2 linked regions of the Sus scrofa genome follow. The protein of the gene in region 2 interacts with the protein of the main gene of each other region in a pairwise test. Links are inferred from orthologs where the notes say so. Each region holds a gene or a part of one and is shown on either strand. Other genes may lie near its edges.

Region 1 (2,852 bases), on a different chromosome or scaffold from region 2:
CAAGTCCTGTCACTCCACCCACCGCCACCATTAAATAACACCATCCTACCTCCGAAAATAAAATTATATCTATATTTATATAACACCCCATCCACCCCAGCCCTCCCCTCCCGCAGTTCCCGTGGTCTATGTTACAGACAGGGGCATAGCAGGCGCTCGCTGGTTATGGGAGAACATCTGATGATGGGGCGCGGCCGCACCCCGGGGCCAAGCTCGCCTCGGGGTAGCAGAGGCGGGCGTGGGGCAAAAACGGGGCGGGGGGAGTTGAACATACACACAGCCACACCCTCCGAAGAGGCTTGGCTCTTCAGAACAGGGTCTTCGGGGATCCCTTGGCACTCAGCGGGGCGCCCAGGCCTGTGCAACACAGCGGGACGCACACAGACACTTGGAAAGGGGGCGCCCGGTGCCTACCGCGCCGATTCCCGGCGCCAGAGCCACAGCCGCCAGGCCACGGCTGCGGGTCCGGAGGGCAGACGCCAGGCCGTCCGGTGGGGTCCGTGGGGGGGGCGCGGGTCTCCCTTCTCCGGCCTCGTGGGGGACCGGCCGGGGTGGGGGAGCCGTGCCCGCAGGGGCAGGCAGGCGGGCGCGGCCCTCATAGCACCTTGCAGCAGTTGATGCAGCCGTTCTGGGAGCCGTAGCGTTTCTGCAGCGCGGCTCGCGTGGCCGTCTCGAAGACCTCGCGCACGCCCTCCTTGGTCTTGGCAGAGCACTCGAGGTAGTCGTAGGCTTGGATGCGCACGGCCATGGCGCGGCCGTCATCCGTGCGCACGGGTTCCTGCTTCATGCGGGCCAGCTCAGTGCGGACGTGCTCGTCGCTGCGCAGGTCTTTCTTGTTGGCCACCAGGATGATGGGCACGTTGGGGCAGAAGTGCTTCACCTCGGGCACCCACTTCTCGGGGATGTTCTCCAGGGAATCCGGGCTGTCCACCGAGAAGCACATAAGGATCACGTCGGTGTCCGGGTAGGAGAGCGGCCGCAGGCGATCGTAGTCCTCCTGGCCCGCTGTGTCCCACAGCGCCAGCTCCACCTGCTTGCCGTCCACTTCGATGTCGGCCACATAGTTCTCAAAGACTGTGGGCACGTACACCTCAGGGAACTCGTCCTTACTGAACACGATCAGCAGGCACGTCTTGCCGCACGCGCCGTCGCCCACCACCACCAGCTTCTTGCGGATGGCCGCCATGAGCGGGCCGGGCCCGGGCAGCAAGAGGGGGCCCGCGAACGCCTCGCTGCCGTCCCGCTGGCCGCTCACTGCTCACCTCGGGCTGCGCGCTAGGGGCAAGGGTCGCTAGCTGCACCCAGGCCCCGGGGTGGCGCGTTCTCTCGCTGTGCTCAGGAAGCCGCGGCGTGGGCGGTAGGGGCGCGGGAGCATAGGGCGCACCGTACGTCTCCGCGCTGCTCCGGAGCGGTGGCGGCCCTCCTCGCCCCGGATCCGGGGTTGGCGCCTTTGTGCGCAAACGGTGACTAGAGTAGCAGACCCGGCCTAGCTTCCTCCCGGGTCGCTCTAGGCCTCAGCAAAGGTACAGGAAAACGAACGAAAGCAGGCAGACTGCGGTGGCAGATGCAGGCTGCGGCCCTAGCGCCCGCTATTTAAAGAGTTCGGCGACTTTCTTAATATAGCCGCCCAATGGCAAGCGAGCCGACTGAGCTCATCGCTGCGGAGCTTGGCTCTGATTGGCCGTCCGCTGCAGCCCAGGGGCGGGGCCGGGCGAGCTTGATTGACGGCCCAGGCCGCGGGGCTGGGAGAGGCGGCGACCGGGGAGCGTGCGCCGCGGCTGGCGCTGCGGGGCTCCGGCGACACCAGGGTTCCCTCCTTCGCCGCAGCTTCTGCGCGTGGGGCGGGAGGCCAAGAGCTAGCTACCAGGAGCCCGCAGGGCCTGGACGAGAGGTTCAGAAAGAAGCCGCACTTTGTGGGGCGTTAACGACTCCCTCCCACTCAAAATTGCCGCGCTGGCTTCGCAAACTCCCAGCGGGTGGTCGGACCTGTGGGGGACCGAGCGGTTCCTTTAACTTGGTTTTGTTTTTAAGTGAACGCGCGCGCACACACACATTCGTTTGTTCCCAAGCAAGGTCTTTTCCCTTTTCTTTCAGAAGCGGGCCCACCCCTGGTCGAGTCTGCCATCCCTGTCCTTCCACCAGGGTACCCGCCTAGAGCAGCCCGGGGTTTGGATCTTAGAGATGGTGGCTGTAAATTAGGTGACCCTGGGCCGAGCTTCTGGCTCCTCCAAGTCCTATCGCCTACCCCCTTCTCGGCACCCAGCCTAGGTCTTTAGGTAAAGATTCGGAGAAGGAGGGACGGTGAAAAGGGAAGGTCGAGGTTGGTTGCAGAACTTGAGGTCCGCTGGGAAGAAGTTACCAAGCAGAAAAAGGCAGCCTCAGCCCTGGATTTCAAGATTAATTCGGATCCTGGTCATAAGGCAGAGAACTGCCTGAGGTAAACAGTACAATAAAATCCAAATCCCCACCCCCACCCCACTGGGCTAGAAGAGGCTGAGGTCCCCCTGGGGAGTAGCAGGAGAAACTTGAAGGCTGGGACATAGCAAATCAGTGTCTAGTGGGGTGCTAGCTCCTAGTCTCCTGCTATCCACCAGGACTTAATCCATCTCTTCCTTGTATCCTGTAGGAGATGGCACCTGTGTCTGATCTAGAAGCTTCTGAGTGGATGGGTCCCAATGGACAGAAGGGGTGAGAAGAAGGATGGAGGTAGGGAGGGAGGACCACCCAAGGAGGAGGAAGAGCTTGAACCAAAGCAGAGATGTGACAAAGAGTAGGACAGATTCTAGGAACAGAGAATAGCTTACTGGGGCTACCCTCAGTGGAAAGAGAGAGTTGAAACTCAGGAGGCAGGC
Region 2 (4,590 bases):
TCTTTGTCAGACTTGATGAAAGCAGAGCTTATAGTTAACTGCCGCTGACCAGTTATACTGAGGATCTTGCTAGTTGCTATGGAAACTGTCCCCTTCCTCTCCCTACAACCTATTCTGTCTCTGCCTCCACGTGGCACTCTTTTTTGATTGCGGAAGAGGAGGCCTGCATATCTCTCTATGCTCTTTGCCAGATTCAGACGTGCAAATGGTGGGGTGGAGGTGTAGCAGAGCATTGTCTCATGTGTCATATAGGGTGAGGCATCCTCACCATCTTATGTTCTGCCGGTACTATTTCCCCCTCTCTGCTATAAAAGGGATTTTCAGGGCCATGTCAAATTTTTTTAATTGAGATAATTGACATAGAGCATTATGTTAGTTTCTGGTAGGGCCACGTCCAAATCGCAGAATGGATTGGATGTTTTGCTAAATATATGTCCCATGATAGGAACTAGGATTGCTGCGAGGTACTTAAAATGCAGACACTATCCAATCCTCCTCAGGGCCTCCGGAGAGGAGGTGGATCAGAACACCGCTCACAGGCAGCCTTGCTCAATCAGGTACTGTGCTCCTCTTCCTTCATTATACCATTCGGAAACTGTAAGACAAATGAGACCCAAAAAAGTACTGCTGGAGCCCTAGGGTTAAAGACAGGCTCTGTCTGATACGTATACATACAGAATGACTCAGTATCCTGAGTAAAAGAAGACACTGGAGTGCAGAGTAGGTAGTGGGGACACACTGAGGAATGGGGGAGGGGTAGACTTGCAGACCGCACCACTTGTACAAGGATGTTCCAGTCAGTCATAAAACAGTGTCAGCCTCCTTAGTCTTCTTTCACATCCCCCGGCTTTTTGCATTTTGGAAGGGCCAAGCCCTCTCTTGGTTCAAACATTGTCCCTTCTGTTTTGAGAATTCACTGGGGAAGTAATACCATTGCCTTCCAAGGTTACCCAACTCACTGTGTCACATTATTTGTAGTTGGGAAGGTCTTGCTTGGGTTTACTGAAACACCCCTTGCTGCAGTCTGAGCTCACTGCACTCAGCAGAGATGGAGACCAGCCAAACACTATCTTCGGAATAACAACTCACCAGGGACTCAGGGCCGGAAGGTCATTCTGTCCCTCTGATACTGCACAGCTTCCCAGTGCACACCCAGGGCCCGAGGCTATGAGGTCAGGAAAAAAAAAAACAAACAAACCCAAATTGTGTTAACACCAACATGGAAGGACAGAAGGATGCAACATAAACTCGAGGCAGAGAGGGACAAGATGGCTCCCCTCAGTTCGGGTGAGGCTGCGGAATTGCCAGATAGTACTTTTCCGGGGAAACATCCTAACTAGAAGCTTCTGGTGCCGAGGTACTAGACTCGCCCCTCCACCCGGTCCCTCAGATAACCCACTCCTACCCAAGTCGGAGTGAGATCTCTCAGGAAAATGAGTGGGGGCGGAGTGGGACAGCCACCAACCCCCGAGCCCCTCCCCAGGCCCAGCGAAACCGCAGAGCAGAGCTCCGCGGCCCCTTCCCAGCCGCTGCGGCGCCAGTGCTCCGCCCCCTGACAGGCAGCAGCCAATGAGCGGCTCCTGCCGCCGGCCTTTAAGAACCGCGCGCACTCTCCCAGCCGCCGACGCCGGCCTTGCACTCCAAAGGAGTTTCCATGGAGACCGAGGCTGGGCCCGGGCGGCCTCGCGGCGTTGCCATGGAGACAAGTCCCGGGCTAGGGCTCCGAAGCCCCGGCTCTCCGCTGGCTCAGAACCCCGCGGAGCCGCTGTACAAGGCCGGAGCCGCCGCGGCGGCAGCACGCTGGGACCTAAGGAAACACTCTTTGCTCATTGTGATCGGCGATATCGGTTCGGAGAGTCAGCTGAGGGCCGTGCGGGCCCACCTTGAACAAGGTGAGCTGCTGTCCTGGATGCTCTCGGGACATCCTTCATCCCGTGCTTCTTTGCCATCTGCATCCTCCAACCGTAGTGTGCTTTTCTTGAGATCTGCGCGCCCTGTTATCTGAATCATCAGCCCCTGGCCTGTCACCTCCATCCTCTGTGTCACACATCTGTATTCCCCCACCCCAGCTGCCAACATCTCGCTTCCCCATCCTTCCCGCACACCCTGTGGTGTTCCACAAACTCCCTGAGGAGGGGTGGGGAGCTCTGTGTACTGCCTGGGGAGCCCTTTCTAGTTGCACCCCTCTCTCCTGCAGTGTCATGGGCCAGACGCCCTAAAAGTCCTCACCATCCCCTGGAGAGTCCAGGTCCCTACCTTAATTTCTTCTTTAGGTTTCTGAACAGGCACAGGGTGCTTTCTGAACGCCGCAGACAAATCTCAAATATCCCAGTGCCAGCGGCCAGACTGAGAGTGACCTTCGTGACCACAGGCTTCTCAGTCCTTCATTGCCTGTGGCGCAGTGCTGCGGAGCCACCTGCGGGTGGAAGCCAGCCGCGGAGGAGTGTAGGCAAGGAGGGGACCACAGAAGGAGAATTTAGAAACCTACCTAGCTGTATCCAGAAGGAAGGGGCTCTTGGGTGTCATTTCTATCTCACCTGGTCAACTCTGCAAGAAAATTCCTACATACAAACTTGTTAATGACCAAATTTAGCCTAAACTCTGCCCTTCTCCCTCTGGCTCCAGCAAAGCCCAAGAAAGGCACAGGATGGGAGACAGGCAAAGGTACTAGCCACCCTTCTCAAAGACATCAGTGAGGCTGATCATAGCAATTGCTCTTATCCCTTCCTTCTCCTTACCCCTTCTGTGAGTTTGGAAGTTCTCTCAGAAGTCTAGTCCCTCTGACCTTATCTAGGTCCCTCTTTGTTTCTTTTTCTCTCACAGGCATTCTCTCCTGGAACATTGACTTATCATCCATTGACTTGAACCAACAATTGAGACTCTTCATTACCCGGCATCTAGCTCACTTCTCCTCAGAGGTCAAAGGTTAGGATTAGTATCAATTTGTCTCTGTCCTTTGGGTGAGGGCTGGTCACAGAAGATCAGAGGTCCAGTCTTCCAGGCAGAACTGGCCTTGTGGGAGGATTGGGTGGGGAGGAAGGGAGAGACGCCTGAGGGGAAAGTTGTAAAGCTCCCATAGCTATCCCTACATACCCGCACACTGCAGACAGATGGTATGATGGTGGGGGAAGCCTAAAGAACATAATTTCTACCTCAGAAGAGGGTAGTTTTATGAACAGCTGTTGACATGCACTAAGAGAATGAGGTATCAATCATCTGTGTAAAAATTCGCTCTTTTTTGTGTGTATTCCCTTTTCTGTATACCCTGGCCTCCTTGCTTCCCTTTACAAAAGCCCTTGAACCCCAGACTCACCTTCCCAGCTTCTTGCTTAGCATTTTTTTCTCAAGCTACAGAGCCTACCCTCCAGAATTCAGGGTTTCTGGTTCCTCCTTTGGCTCAGTCAACCGATGTCCAGAGCAGAGCAGAAACATTGTACCAAAGACCGATGAGCACCATGAAATCCAGAGTGGAAGCAGGTTTTCCTGGATTTACTTCTGCAAGAGCTAGTCATACTTTGAGGTTTGGCTCTGAAATCAAAGTTCACGGTTTGCAATTTCCCATTCTGCTGGGTAGAAGAAATGGTCAGGAATTTAAGAAAACAATATTTTAGGAACTGCTATTCCATGACAGTATCTGTGGGGAAACTACAGAAAGCCGTATATCTCATTGTTAAAGTGCTGGGCATCTGATAATGTTATTGGTAAATGCTGACAAGCTAATTCGTACACCATTGTTTTTATGGAATATAAGTCTACCCAACTCAGCAGTCACTGCTGGAGTTCCCTTGTAGCTCAGCAGGTTAAAGATCCGGTGTTGTCACTGCTGTGGCTTTGGTTACAGCTGTGGCTTGGGTTCATCCCCTTGTCTGGGAACTTCCGCATGCTGTGAGCATGGCGAAAAAAGAACAAAAGTCATTGCCACCAAATGACTGAATTTATATCTTATATAGATAATTCTCAATTATCCAGTATAATAGATAATCACCTCCCCTTCTTTTCTGCTCCTCCTGCTAATTGCCACATCTTTGGTCATTTCCCTGATCACCTATTCCTCTAGAGTTGATCCTGGAGAGAGCAGACAAGGTTAACATGACTAATGCTCCATCATCTTAGGAATATATGCAGCACTTTAAAAATTTGAGGCTGACGTCTTCTTGATGTGACTGGCTTCCTGTGAAGCTAGCCAGTCACTGTTTGAGACTGCCTTCTGTTTACAATTACTCATGTCATTGCTTCCTCCATCAGCTCTAGTGATTGACAAGTGACAGTTTCATAACTTTATTAATCCTACGAGCTTTTGTACAAGGCTGGATAAGGGAATGACAGCAGATGAAATTAACAACTGGATTGAAGTTTGGAGAGTATCTGCTGATGTTATTAATTCACACTGAATTCTCTAACCTTGTTCTTTTAGACACAGATGTAAGAGTAGATGCTTTCTGGAATGACATAGGAATGATCATAACTTAAAACAAAATAATTAGCCATTCTTCAGAATAAGATGTGGGAATACTTGGGAAAATGCTTACAGGGAGATGTATAGTTACTGTCAGGGACCTCTCAGAAACGAGTACCAATATGTAAACAGCT

What was found.
Region 1: the proteins of MAP1A (region 2) and RHOB interact in a two-hybrid assay, tested with the Homo sapiens proteins (2 studies listed by BioGRID and IntAct). The link is inferred for Sus scrofa from reciprocal best matches to the Homo sapiens genes MAP1A and RHOB.

What each region holds. Positions count from the first base shown.
Region 1 is NC_010445.4:117,774,275-117,777,126, forward strand, and holds RHOB (rho-related GTP-binding protein RhoB), read right to left. Parts: upstream 1,187-2,852; coding exon 596-1,186; downstream 1-595. UniProt on the Homo sapiens protein: Mediates apoptosis in neoplastically transformed cells after DNA damage. Not essential for development but affects cell adhesion and growth factor signaling in transformed cells. Plays a negative role in tumorigenesis as deletion causes tumor formation.
Region 2 is NC_010443.5:127,933,989-127,938,578, reverse strand, and holds the start of MAP1A (microtubule-associated protein 1A), read left to right. Parts: upstream 1-1,626; 5' UTR 1,627-1,654; coding exon 1,655-1,892; intron 1,893-2,823; coding exon 2,824-2,925; intron 2,926-4,590. UniProt on the Homo sapiens protein: Structural protein involved in the filamentous cross-bridging between microtubules and other skeletal elements.